Linked DNA regions of Ovis aries. The protein of the gene in region 2 purifies or fractionates together with the protein of the main gene of each other region. This does not show direct contact. Links are inferred from orthologs where the notes say so. Each region holds a gene or a part of one and is shown on either strand. Other genes may lie near its edges.

Region 1 (3,646 bases), on a different chromosome or scaffold from region 2:
TGACTTGTGAGTTGTTAGTTGTGGTCTCCATGTCACTAAGATGGACAGACACCACTCTAATAGCTTTACACAGATGCATTCTAGGAGACGTTGTTCTGCTGTGGTCACAGTAACAAAGAAGTGGTGCAGAATCAGTTACTTTATAAATACTGATAATTTGCAGCATTAAGGAACAGGACATTAAAAAAAATACATTTCCCCATAGGACACCTATGACTAGGAACTCTTCTTTTCCTAAAAGAAGCCAAAGTTTTAATTATTCAGTTTCACAACTATTGTACTGGATTACTTACTCTAAGAAAGAAAAGGTGCTCTAAAGAGGTCTCCCCACACACAAAGAATCAGCATTAATTTAGCATAATTGGTATCATTCGTAGATCTGGAGAACTCTTGACTCATTTTAAATGAATAAGGCCAATATTACGCAGGAAAAAGTGTAGCTGAGTTCCAGGTCTGTACTGTAGTCTATTGATGGCACCCCATTAGATAACTGAATACAAAGGACTGGTTTACTTCGTTTTCTTTTAATGCTGTGATACTTAAATGTTAAATCAGCATTTTCAGGTGATCTGAAGTATTTCAATTACATATGAGCATTCATTTTTTGCAAAAACTCAATATTAGGTAATAGTTACATACTAATACAATAACATTCCTCTGCTGTACAAATTAAATCATTTAAAAGAAATGAGCATTCTAAGAATTATATACAAAAGAAACCTGTAAGCACTGTTGAAATGAAATGCGAGGTGTCGTTGCTAGCTCTACTGTTTTAAAATACCTTCAAAAAGTAAAATTAACAAATACCCTTCAACATATCCAGGTTTACAAGTCTCAAGAAAATCAAATGTCAAAAAATTCCAGAAAGCTGTGAAAAGCATATATACATTTTCCTTATGACCTTATGAAGCTTCACACTTTTCAGAAGTTGCTAAGTTTCAGTATCAATTTATTCGTGTGTCAACTTTATCCACTCAAGGAGCTCCCATCTTGGATACAGTTCCCCTAGGATTTCAAATAAAGCTCTGCACGATCTTCCACGAGTGAAGGCATACAATCTTACTCAGAATCCACACTCAGATCTTTAACAAAGATAAACACAAACAGGCAGGTTTACTCTGATCAGATCAATGCGCTCTTCCCCTAACACACACTATCATCTATGCATTTGCCTTCAAGGAACCTAGCCATGTTCAGAACTTCTACAGCAAACGGAGTCTTTAAATTCTGAAATGACACAAAGATCAAGAAAAAGTCCACGTGTGCTCTAGTGTGCAAGAAAGCAGCAGCTACGTTCTCCAACTTGGACTAAAAAAACAAACAAAAAAAATCAAAAAAGGTAAAATGAAAACCGTTCATATAACAGCAGATTAGCAGTAATGTTCCTCATGAACTGATAACAGTGCCTGATGCTGAAGAGCGAACAGCAGACGCTGAACTTGGATTTAATATTTTCGGTGTTTATTGGAAATCAGGCTTCTTGCTGAGCTGGTCTCTTCAAATCCCTGATCTGTTTGACTAAATACGTCTTCTCATCATTGAACTGCTCGTCCTCGGTCCTGTCATTCTGGAACTTGCTGAGGAACTCTATGAGCTTGGCTTGGTTCTTGAGGAGGATGTCGAGGATGGGCTGCGTCTTGTTGGGGTTGGCTACGAACACCTGCACAAGGAGAGATCAACGTCAGCTACAGGAAGGACAGTGCGCGGTGTGGAGACGCTGCAGACAGCAGAGCACGTGTGGCCACGCCCACTGCTCCCCGGGGCACGGGCTGCAGTCCAGATTGCTCATTCGGGTGTCTGCTTTGGAAGACCTTACTTTTACAATTAAAAAAGGAGGGAAGAAGTGCATGTTTAAGCACAAAAAGGACCGACATGTTCACTCATGCTCTGAAACTCTGTAGTTTGTATTAAATACAGACTTTGATTTTAGAATAAAATGGGCAGAAGTTAGTTCTGGGCACAGGAGGTCAGAATGGATTTTAAGAACAAAAATCTCCATGGAAAGCATTAAGAAATGCATTTCCCTTTACTTTGGGATTAGTAATTTTCCACGCCAAAGACCACCTGATGCGAAGAGCTGACTCATTGGAAAAGACCCTGATGCTGGCAAAGACTGAAGGCGGGAGGAGAAGGGGACAACAGAAGATGAGATGGCTGGATGGCATCACTGACTCGATGGACATGAGTTTGAGCAAGCTCCGGGAGTTGGTGATGGACAGGGAAGCCTGGTGTGCTGCAGTCCATGGGGTGGCAAAGAATCAGACACAACTGAGTGACTGAACTGAACTGATGCCAAAGACGGGTGACACTCCTCTACAAATCAACTTTTCTTATTCCCAAATGCAAATGCCCTGTTTCCGGGTCCATTTTTGTTTAAATGTTGTACCACACAACTGTGAAAATGGACTGAATGACTGTGTCACTCAGATTACCAAAATGAAGCTAATAAAACAAGTAACTTGCAAATAAAATGGGATGAACAACTAGTGTTTATGGTCTTAGCACTCTACCTTAAAAACGTGGAAGGCCTCAAACTGGATGTTACGGCTTTTGTCTCGTAGAAGGTTCATCATTAATTTGAGGTTCTCAGGTTTACTGATGTATTTTGTCATAATCGTGAAGTTGTGTCTGTCTAGTAGCAGTTCCCCCAGAAGCTGAGAAGACAAACAATTTATCCGTTTATTCCACCATTATCATTTAAGATTTGAAGTAAAACTAAAGTTTTAAAAACAGTTCATTAAATATTATTAAGCACAGAATATTAATAGGCACTGAAAAGATGGATGAACTGAATTATGACCTGAAAGCTAATGAGCACTTCCTGTTTGCTACTTGGACACCTCCTTTTTCTTCTGGGGTTTACACCTATGGTGGGTCTGGCACTGCTCCCTGAAGAAGACCACATTCAAGCCACATCTGGCTCAGAATCTGAGACTTATCAGAACCTGTTCTTTAAATATGCGTTTGTGTTATCTCAGTAAAAAGAAACCACCAAAGAAAGTGGTCAGAAGATAAGTTACTGGATAACTATAAACCTTAGCTATATTTAAAAATAATTTTACGTATCTGAACTTTATGGGACAAAGGGTTTCATGCACACAGCTTTCTATACACGTCAAACATCGTTTTATCTTATCAGATTAAAAAAGCTTCATAAAAACGAGTACTTTTCTGGTCCTTCTTAAGCAAGGTATCCTGAAGATACTCTAAGCTTCTCTTAGTGACACCACAATATCACTAATGAAGTTAATTAAGCTAAAAAAAAAAAAAAATCTGTCGCTTCAGTTAAGTCTGTGCTTACTGAGTTCTATGAGTTGATTGTGCCACATCAGCTCTTAATTTTAAAATCAAACCTGCTTGTTCTAGATTTCTTCTTCTGAAACTCGCGGTCACCTCTTCATGTTGTCATGGTGCCAACTTCCTGTCAAGGACTAGTGTGCAGGTGGCATGGCCTGCATGGGGGCACGGGCCAGAGGCACAACAGAGTGGCGTCCAGCCTGGCTCCCGGCACCAGCCTGCCTGGGCTCAAATCCTGACACTCTGCTCCTTGTGAGCTCTATATCCTTGAGCATATTATTTAACTTCTCTGTGCTTCAGTTTCATCACCTGCACAAGGGAGTGGATGACGGTGCCTGTATCTTATGAC
Region 2 (3,746 bases):
AGGCCCCCAGGGCTGCAGGCCGGGCGCCTGAGTGGACAGAGGCCCCAGCAGCGCACCCTGGGACAGCCTGCTCACAGCCGCGCGGGGGAGAAGGGAGACAGGGCCGGGGCCGGGCTGCGGGGGCCCTTGTGAGAGCCGGGTCTGGACAGCCGCTCGGCCTGCTCGCTTGGCCCAGACCACCGGGCCCTGAACCTGCCCTGGGGCGGCCCGGTCTGCGGTCACCGCTCAGCCGCCTGCACATCCACTTAGCACCACGCCCGCCGCTGGCATCACCCCCCAAGTGAGGGCTGGCCAGCGGCCCCCATGCACCCCACGACAGGTGGCAGTCACTTGCACAGGGCGCTTCTACAGCTGCACAGGCCTGGGCAGGAGTCACAGCCCGGCGGGGGCCCAATGCCCAAGGTTCCCCCGCGGGGAGCAGGCCACCACCCCACGCACACAGGGACCGCCTCACAGGACCACGATGACAACCACCTCAAGGAAAACAACGTCCTGTCAGGCTTCCTGTCACCGACAAAGACCAAGCGTCTCCACCCCTGAAAGGACAAAAGGGGCTTCCTTCCTCTGGGGTCCCTTCCTCAGCTCCCCTGAGCCCCGCTCCGTCCCCGGGCAAGACGCAGCCACCCAAGCCCCGCTGCGAGCACCACCAGCACCCAGGTGAGGGGCCGCTCACAGCGCCACGTCCGCACACGGGGGGCCGTTCCTACAGCCCTTGACTTGGAGCCAGACTTCTCTGCCAGCATCTTAGTCCAGGGACTCGGAAGACGCACGTGTCCGAGGGAGCACGGGCCTGCAGCGGCCCACCTGCAGCATCAGCGCGGCGCCCTGGGGTTCTCCGAAGAGCCCAGGCATCTAGAGCCGACCTGACTCCAGCTCCTCCTCCCCCGCAAGGACACGCACTTTCTGTTCCTCCCAGGCTCCCAGTCCTCCCAAACTGGGCTGAACGGAGCGAGCCCGAGGGCTCAATTCTCTTCAAGAGGCGCTCCCACCACCTCGCAGCCGTCAGCCTAAACCGCACCCCAGCTGACCAGCTAAGAAGAGCAAAACCCAACAGCTGGGGTGAAGGACCACCGCACCAGCTGGGGCGCTTACTTCCCAGGAGCTTCCACTCACACCTGCCTTGCAGTAACAGAAAAGGGGGGGGAAGCGTGGCCCACAAGCCCTGGCGGCGGCTGCCCCAACCCGCCTAACTGTAGCCATCAGCCCCAGGGCACATTGTGGAGGGTCCCCTGGACTCAGGCAGTTAATGCACAGAGCCAGACCCCTCAAAGTGCTGTGGCGTTGGTAATTTCAAGAACCAACCAGCCAAAAAACAGTGGGCATCTCCCAGGCAGGCCCCTCGCAGCCCAGTGGCAGCCCTGTCCACCCAGCAAGAGAAACACACAGGCGCGTCCTCTGCCTTCCCTGCACACAGATACTCCCAGCCCCCCTCGTCCCCCTCAGGGCCGAGCAGGCCCGTCCCCCAAGCCAATGTGCTGGTGGACCCTGACCCTCCGCGGCCCTCCAGACGCACAGACCCAGTTCCTGGGGTTCAGCCCTGTAACAGCGTGGGTCTCTACATACCTCCGGCTGACCCTGCATTGAGGCTACACTTTGACAGGCTGGTGGGGGTCCTGCCCCACAGGACGCTGCCAACGGGCGGACCCCAGTCCGCCCTGCACCCACCAAATCTGAGCACCTGGCGACTGCTCCCGCTTTGCCCAGGGCTACGCATCACGGGCCTCCACCCCTCCTCCCACACGCGCCCTAAGAGGGGCTGCTCTTCTGACACCCCCGGACCACTTTTCAAAAGACAGTCTCCTTGGTGAAACGGCCTTTCTCGACCTCTGCAGCCGGCGCCCCGTCCCAGGCAGCGTGCAGACGCCCACCCTTACCTGGTTGGCAAATCCCCTGAGGTGAGCCATGGCTGCGCGGCCCTCAGACCATCCGCCGCGCCCCCGGGAGGCCCCGAGATCCCGCCTGGAGGCTCTGGAACCCGCTTCAGGCCGCTTCAGTCAACTGGAGGGAGAGCAGACCTGCTCGGGGGCCCTGTTCCGGGTACGCGGGGCTCCCCGCCCCCCGGGGCGCGGCGGCAGCCCCCTCCTCCAACCATCTGGGGACCAGCTGGAGAAGGGTCCCCCGAAGGGCTCCCGCCGCGCACCCTCCGCGCCCGACCCTGCCTCAGGCCTCCCCGGGGAGCCCCCCGACGCCGCGCACACCTCCCCGGCCCCCACCCCTCCCCAGACCCCGGCCCCCGGCCAGGGCCGCCCCTACCCGCCCCCGGGGCGCCTCGCCCCGCCTCACCCCCGGCCCCGCCCCGCGGCCGCGCCGCCCGGCCCCCTCCCCAACCGGCCCAGGCGCGGGCCAGCCCGGCGGCGCGCCCACCTCCGGGGGGCTCCATCCCGGCCTCCCCCGGCCCGCTCCGCAGTGCCCGCGAGGGCTCCCACCCACAGCCTCCACTCGCCCGCGGACGCCTGGGCCCTCAGCTCGCGAAGCAGCGGCAGTGGCGGCGGCGGCCGGAGAAAGCTCGGCGGCGGCGGCGGCGGCGGCGGCGGCGGCGGCGGCGGCGGCGGAGGCGAGGGCACGCGGCGTCGCGGCCCAGCACGGGGCATTCTGGGACAGCGAGTCGCTCGCTCGCCCCGCGCCGGGGCGCCCGCGGGCGCCGGACTGCAAATCCCGGCAGGCCACGGGCTGGAGCGCAGAGGAGGCCCGCAGGCGCGCCGCGGGGCGCGCTGGGACTCCGAGTCCGGCTTCCTGAGAGGCGCGGGCCTACGTCTCCCGGCAGGCCGCGGGGCGGGGCGGGGCCAGGCGGCGCCGGGGCGGGGCGGCCGCGGGTGGGGCCGCTCCGCCCTCCCGCCGCCTGGCCGCACCTGGGCGGACCTGGCCCGGGGCTCCGGCCGGGTCCTGCAGGCCTCACCCCTCCGGCTTCCGGGCTTGGGAGGGTGAACCGGGCCTGGAAGTGTCTTGGAATGTTATTAAGTCTGAAAAAGGAAGGCGCTTTTGACACAGGTCGGCCTGGGTAGACCTTGACGACGTGGCACTGAGTGACCGCAGCCAGACCCAGAAGGACAAACACGGTTCGCTTCCACTTGTATGAGGTCCCCGGAGTGGCCGGATTCATCGGCACAGAAAGGCGAAGTGTGAGTGTAGGGGGAAGGGGTGTCTAATGGGGACGGAGCCTCAGTCTCAGAAGATGACAAGAGATCTGGAGATTGGCTGCATAACCATGAGAATGTATTTCCCGCTGCTGAAATGTACAGTTCAGTTCACTTCAGTCGCTCAGTGTCCGACTCTGCGACCCCATGAATAGCAGCACACCAGGCCTCCCTGTCCATCACCACCTCCCCGAGTTCACTCAGACTCACGTCCATCCGGTCCGTGATGCCATCCAGCCATCTCATCCTCTGTCGTCCCCTTCTCCTCCTGCCCCCAATCCCTCCCAACACCAGAGTCTTTTCCAGTGAGTCAACTCTTCGCATGAGGTGGCCAAAGTACTGGAGTTTCAGCTTCAGCATCATTCCTTCCCAAGAAACCCCAGGGTTGATCTCCTTCAGAATGGACTGGTTGGATCTCCTTGCAGTCCCAGGGACAGTTAGGATGGTAAATTTTATGTGATCTGTTCCATTCAATTCAGTCACTCAGTTGTGTCTGACTCTCTGCGACCCCATGGACTGCAGCACACCAGGCCTCCCTGTCCATTGCCAACTCCTGGAGTTTACCCAAACTCATGTCCATTGAGTTTGTGATACCATCCAACCATCTCATCC
Region 3 (3,646 bases), on a different chromosome or scaffold from region 2:
GTACTAAATAATTTCTCTAAGTCTCTGCAGAATTAGCTTTGGACAATGATCTACACATGTACAGAGCTTAAATATAAAACAGACACCCTCAAAATTGGTTATTGAATTACTTTATTATTTTCTTTAACCTAACCCACATCTTAGGTGATGTGAAAATCACCAAATCTAATTATAGCTATTTCTGCCTGCATGGGGTGAAAACTTAAATCTACTTTTTAAAAAAGAATATTAAAAATCTTACTCGGTATCTAGAATTGGTCCAATTTTCTGTAGAGATTTGGCCACATTAAAACGGACATTTGCTACTTGGTCTCCTGCCATTTTCAATACAATCGGCAGCATCTGCTTAGTGGTTATTTCCTGACCACAGGCTTCAGACAGTGCCTTGAAAAAGAAATAAGACAGCACATTAAAATACACCTTTTTTTAAAAAAAAAGTATCCCCAAATCTAAAGAGCTAAGAAAGTAACTGGCTGCCAGGAAAATGTTTCTAGTGTAAGCATGTGATGAAAGATACAAGGTAGAACAGAATCCCAGAATTAGACCAGAATTCAAAACTGACTTGACTGTAGAGTTTAACACCAATTGAAAAATTGACAGTTTTCTCTCATCTCCTAAATATCCAACTTAATCAGTATTAAGAAATATAGTCCAAACAGAGGACAACATATTCAGGATTCAGAAATATAGTCCTGAATAACTGGTTTAACACCAGAGCTTAACAAAACAGCTATGTAATACTTACATTAATGCAGAATAAAGTGGTCATTCTATGCAGGTAATTAGGATCATTCGCCATTACTAACACTTTGGGAACGATGGTATTTTGGGCCCACTCTGTACCAAACTTCTGAACTAGTTTCATGAGGTTATTGGTGGCAGCTTCCCGGATGGCATACACTGCAGAAGAGGTGAAGAAGATTTTGGCATGCTGCTCACATCACGAGCGTAACCTGGTTTACTTTTCCTTACGCCATCGTCAAAGGTGGGCCAAAAATAAAACTGTAAACACTCCAAATTTAGTCAGACTGCAATGGCAAGCATGCTCAGCTATGACTTCTAATATGCTGATGTGGTCTGACTATAGTTTCAAAATGTCCAAGGAAAAGGGAAGTAAGGAGCTCATTACAGGCATCATTAATTAGCAAATATGAGTGCCAACTATGTGCTATGTGTCACAGAAAGAATGCATAAGTTACTTGCCCCCAAAGACCACATACTCAAGCAGAGAAATGAAAAATCATGCGTTCTGAGAAATCATGGGGTCTAGGACGCATTATAATAAAGCATGCAACAGTAAGGACCCTGAGGGCGTAGGAGTTTAGAGGATGGAGAGCAGGAAGGTCTGGGAAGGCTGTGGGAAACACAGGCCTTGCACTGGGCCTTAAAGATCATGGAGGGTTTGTGTAAGTGGAGAGAAGAGGGGACGAATTCCTAGAAAGGACAAAAAAAGCTACCCAGGGCACAAAGGAAAAACTGGAATCTGTGAGACTGTAAGGTTGAACAGTTAGGGTGGAGTCAGACCGAGCTTCATGAAAGCTAAATTTAGACTGTAAGGAAACCAGTGGCGGGTTTTTAAAGCAAAGATGTGGCCCTATGACCAATGTGGTATTTTAGCAAGATTATTTCAGCAGCAGCAAGAACAGCTGAGAACAGCAGCAAGGAGGCTAGTCAGAGGCCACTGTCGTCGTCCACACAACAGCAAATAAAACCTTGAGACTGACTTGCCTTTTCTCCCCTTAAAAACGTTTCTGTTGAGGCAACACGTCAAACGCCTTCTGTGAATATACGTGCCTGCTTTAATATCGTAATTCCCTACAAGGTCATTTAGCAAAGACATCATAAATCTAAATAAAGGCCTGAGCCACATCTTCTCAACAACTAGTTACTACATACAACAGCCAACAAAGACAGGTACGGCAACGCTTCATCTTACACGCCCAATACACTCAAAGTTTGGCCTTAGGTAACAAGTGAAAGGTCAGTGCCGACTCCTTCTTCTACTCCTCCCTCCAGGGGCGCCCAACGCTCCCGGCTGACAGCTGGGAGTGACAGGCACCCAGGCCACAGCTCTGAGCCCGGAAGACTGACACACGGCTCCCAGCCAGGAAACGGCCGGTTCTTCCCAGGCCACAGAGCCTCTCAGGCGACGCCACTGGTGAGAACAGGCCAGACACCTGAGCCAAGGGGCTAGATTATTAGCAGCGTGCAACCTGACCGGAGCATGGGAGAAGCAGCCTGGCAGGGATATTCAGCAGCACTCTCGAAGGAACACGCTCAAGTCACCTGTTCTACTCTAACAAAAACTCCCTCCCTTCACCAGCAGTCTTTGTTTTGAGCACACCGTCCCCCACCAACTTCTTCCCATCTGTGTCTTCTCCCCTCGTTGTTTATTTGCTTGAGATTCTTCTCATCCTAATGCCATTGCCATAGGGAAGGGATCTCATTGCCAGAGTAACCAGAGACTAGCGCTCGGCCTTGACCCAGACCTTAACTGCACTCAACTCCGCTTGGCCAGACGCCTACTATGTTCTTGGCTCCTCTCAGTTTTGCTGTGAAAAGAATGCAAACAAACCACTCCACGGTTCTGCCTCTCCTCTCTGCTTGATTTGTCTCTCTCCCTCCTTCTTCTTCCTCTCCCCTTAAGGTCTGGCTGGTGTTCCTCTGAATTTCTAAAACACTCTATATGTGGTGTATATGTGGTGTATTTCTAACTTTGGTACTTTTTCCTTCCTCGTATAAAAAATAAACTCCCCTTCTAAATTCCTCTCTCTGATCAACACTATCCACTCAACCATGGGAAAAGAGGGTAAGTGATACCGTCTTGCTTTTAGTTCTCTGTACTTTTTCACAATATCCTCTTAGTACTTTAATAAGCAAAAAAAGTTTCTAAAAATTGAACAGGTCACTGATCACTACATGGCAGTTATCTAAAATGCAAAAACAAAACCTCGAACAATTTCAGAGCTGACATTTCATTGGTTCAAAGAATGCTTGCAAAGGCCACTTAAGTATGCTGCTGCAGAAAAAGACACAAGGGTCTCTTCTGCTCCTAAACCAGAAGACAAAAAATCAGAGAAAAAAGAAAGCATTAATTAACCTGCATTGACGGGTGAATTCTATATAGAAAAGATGTCAGGAATTCAATTATTTGTGGAACAACAGGATTTTAAAAGTATCTCAAAATTAAGTGTAGAATACTAGCTTTCAAAGAAAGTATGGACCAATCTGCTGGGACTCACTAACATTAATATTTATCAGAAATAATATGAACACTTTATTTCTAAAAAGAGAAGACTATCTTTCCCATGATTTCACCAAACCTTAGTTTCGTTTAAGAAGAAAAAAAATGAAGCCATACAGGGACAACTTTAGAGGACAAGAAAAAGAGAAATAAAATCTTTGCAATCTAGTTTGAAAACAATGAGATTATCTACATTTACATGTCTTTAAGAAATTTACATTTTTTGCACCTCTCCTCTTCACTTTTTTAACCATATGATCCAACTGGCAACCCACTCCAGTAGTCTTGCCTGGAAAATTCCATGGACGGAGGAGCCTAGTAGGCTACAGTCCATGGAGTCGCAAAGAGTCGGACGCGACTGAGCAACTTCACTTTCACTTTCTTCAAAAAAAATCAGTTTGG

The links. The genes of interacting proteins can lie anywhere in the genome.
Region 1: the proteins of STK25 (region 2) and CAB39 purify together in Homo sapiens (co-immunoprecipitation; 3 studies listed by BioGRID and IntAct, counting the BioPlex papers as one, with this or other methods). This does not show direct contact. The link is inferred for Ovis aries from reciprocal best matches to the Homo sapiens genes STK25 and CAB39.
Region 3: the proteins of STK25 (region 2) and PPP2R1B purify together in Homo sapiens (affinity purification with mass spectrometry; 3 studies listed by BioGRID and IntAct, with this or other methods). This does not show direct contact. The link is inferred for Ovis aries from reciprocal best matches to the Homo sapiens genes STK25 and PPP2R1B.

The regions. Positions count from the first base shown.
Region 1 is NC_056055.1:232,626,317-232,629,962, reverse strand, and holds part of CAB39 (calcium-binding protein 39), read right to left. Parts: intron 2,655-3,646; coding exon 2,511-2,654; intron 1,661-2,510; coding exon 1,472-1,660; 3' UTR 1-1,471. UniProt on the Homo sapiens protein: Component of a complex that binds and activates STK11/LKB1. In the complex, required to stabilize the interaction between CAB39/MO25 (CAB39/MO25alpha or CAB39L/MO25beta) and STK11/LKB1.
Region 2 is NC_056054.1:366,089-369,834, reverse strand, and holds the start of STK25 (serine/threonine-protein kinase 25), read right to left. Parts: upstream 2,509-3,746; 5' UTR 2,444-2,508; exon of another isoform or gene 2,365-2,443; intron 1,999-2,364; 5' UTR 1,905-1,998; coding exon 1,875-1,904; intron 1-1,874. UniProt on the Homo sapiens protein: Oxidant stress-activated serine/threonine kinase that may play a role in the response to environmental stress.
Region 3 is NC_056068.1:21,758,818-21,762,463, forward strand, and holds part of PPP2R1B (serine/threonine-protein phosphatase 2A 65 kDa regulatory subunit A beta isoform), read right to left. Parts: intron 901-3,646; coding exon 746-900; intron 385-745; coding exon 242-384; intron 1-241. UniProt on the Homo sapiens protein: The PR65 subunit of protein phosphatase 2A serves as a scaffolding molecule to coordinate the assembly of the catalytic subunit and a variable regulatory B subunit.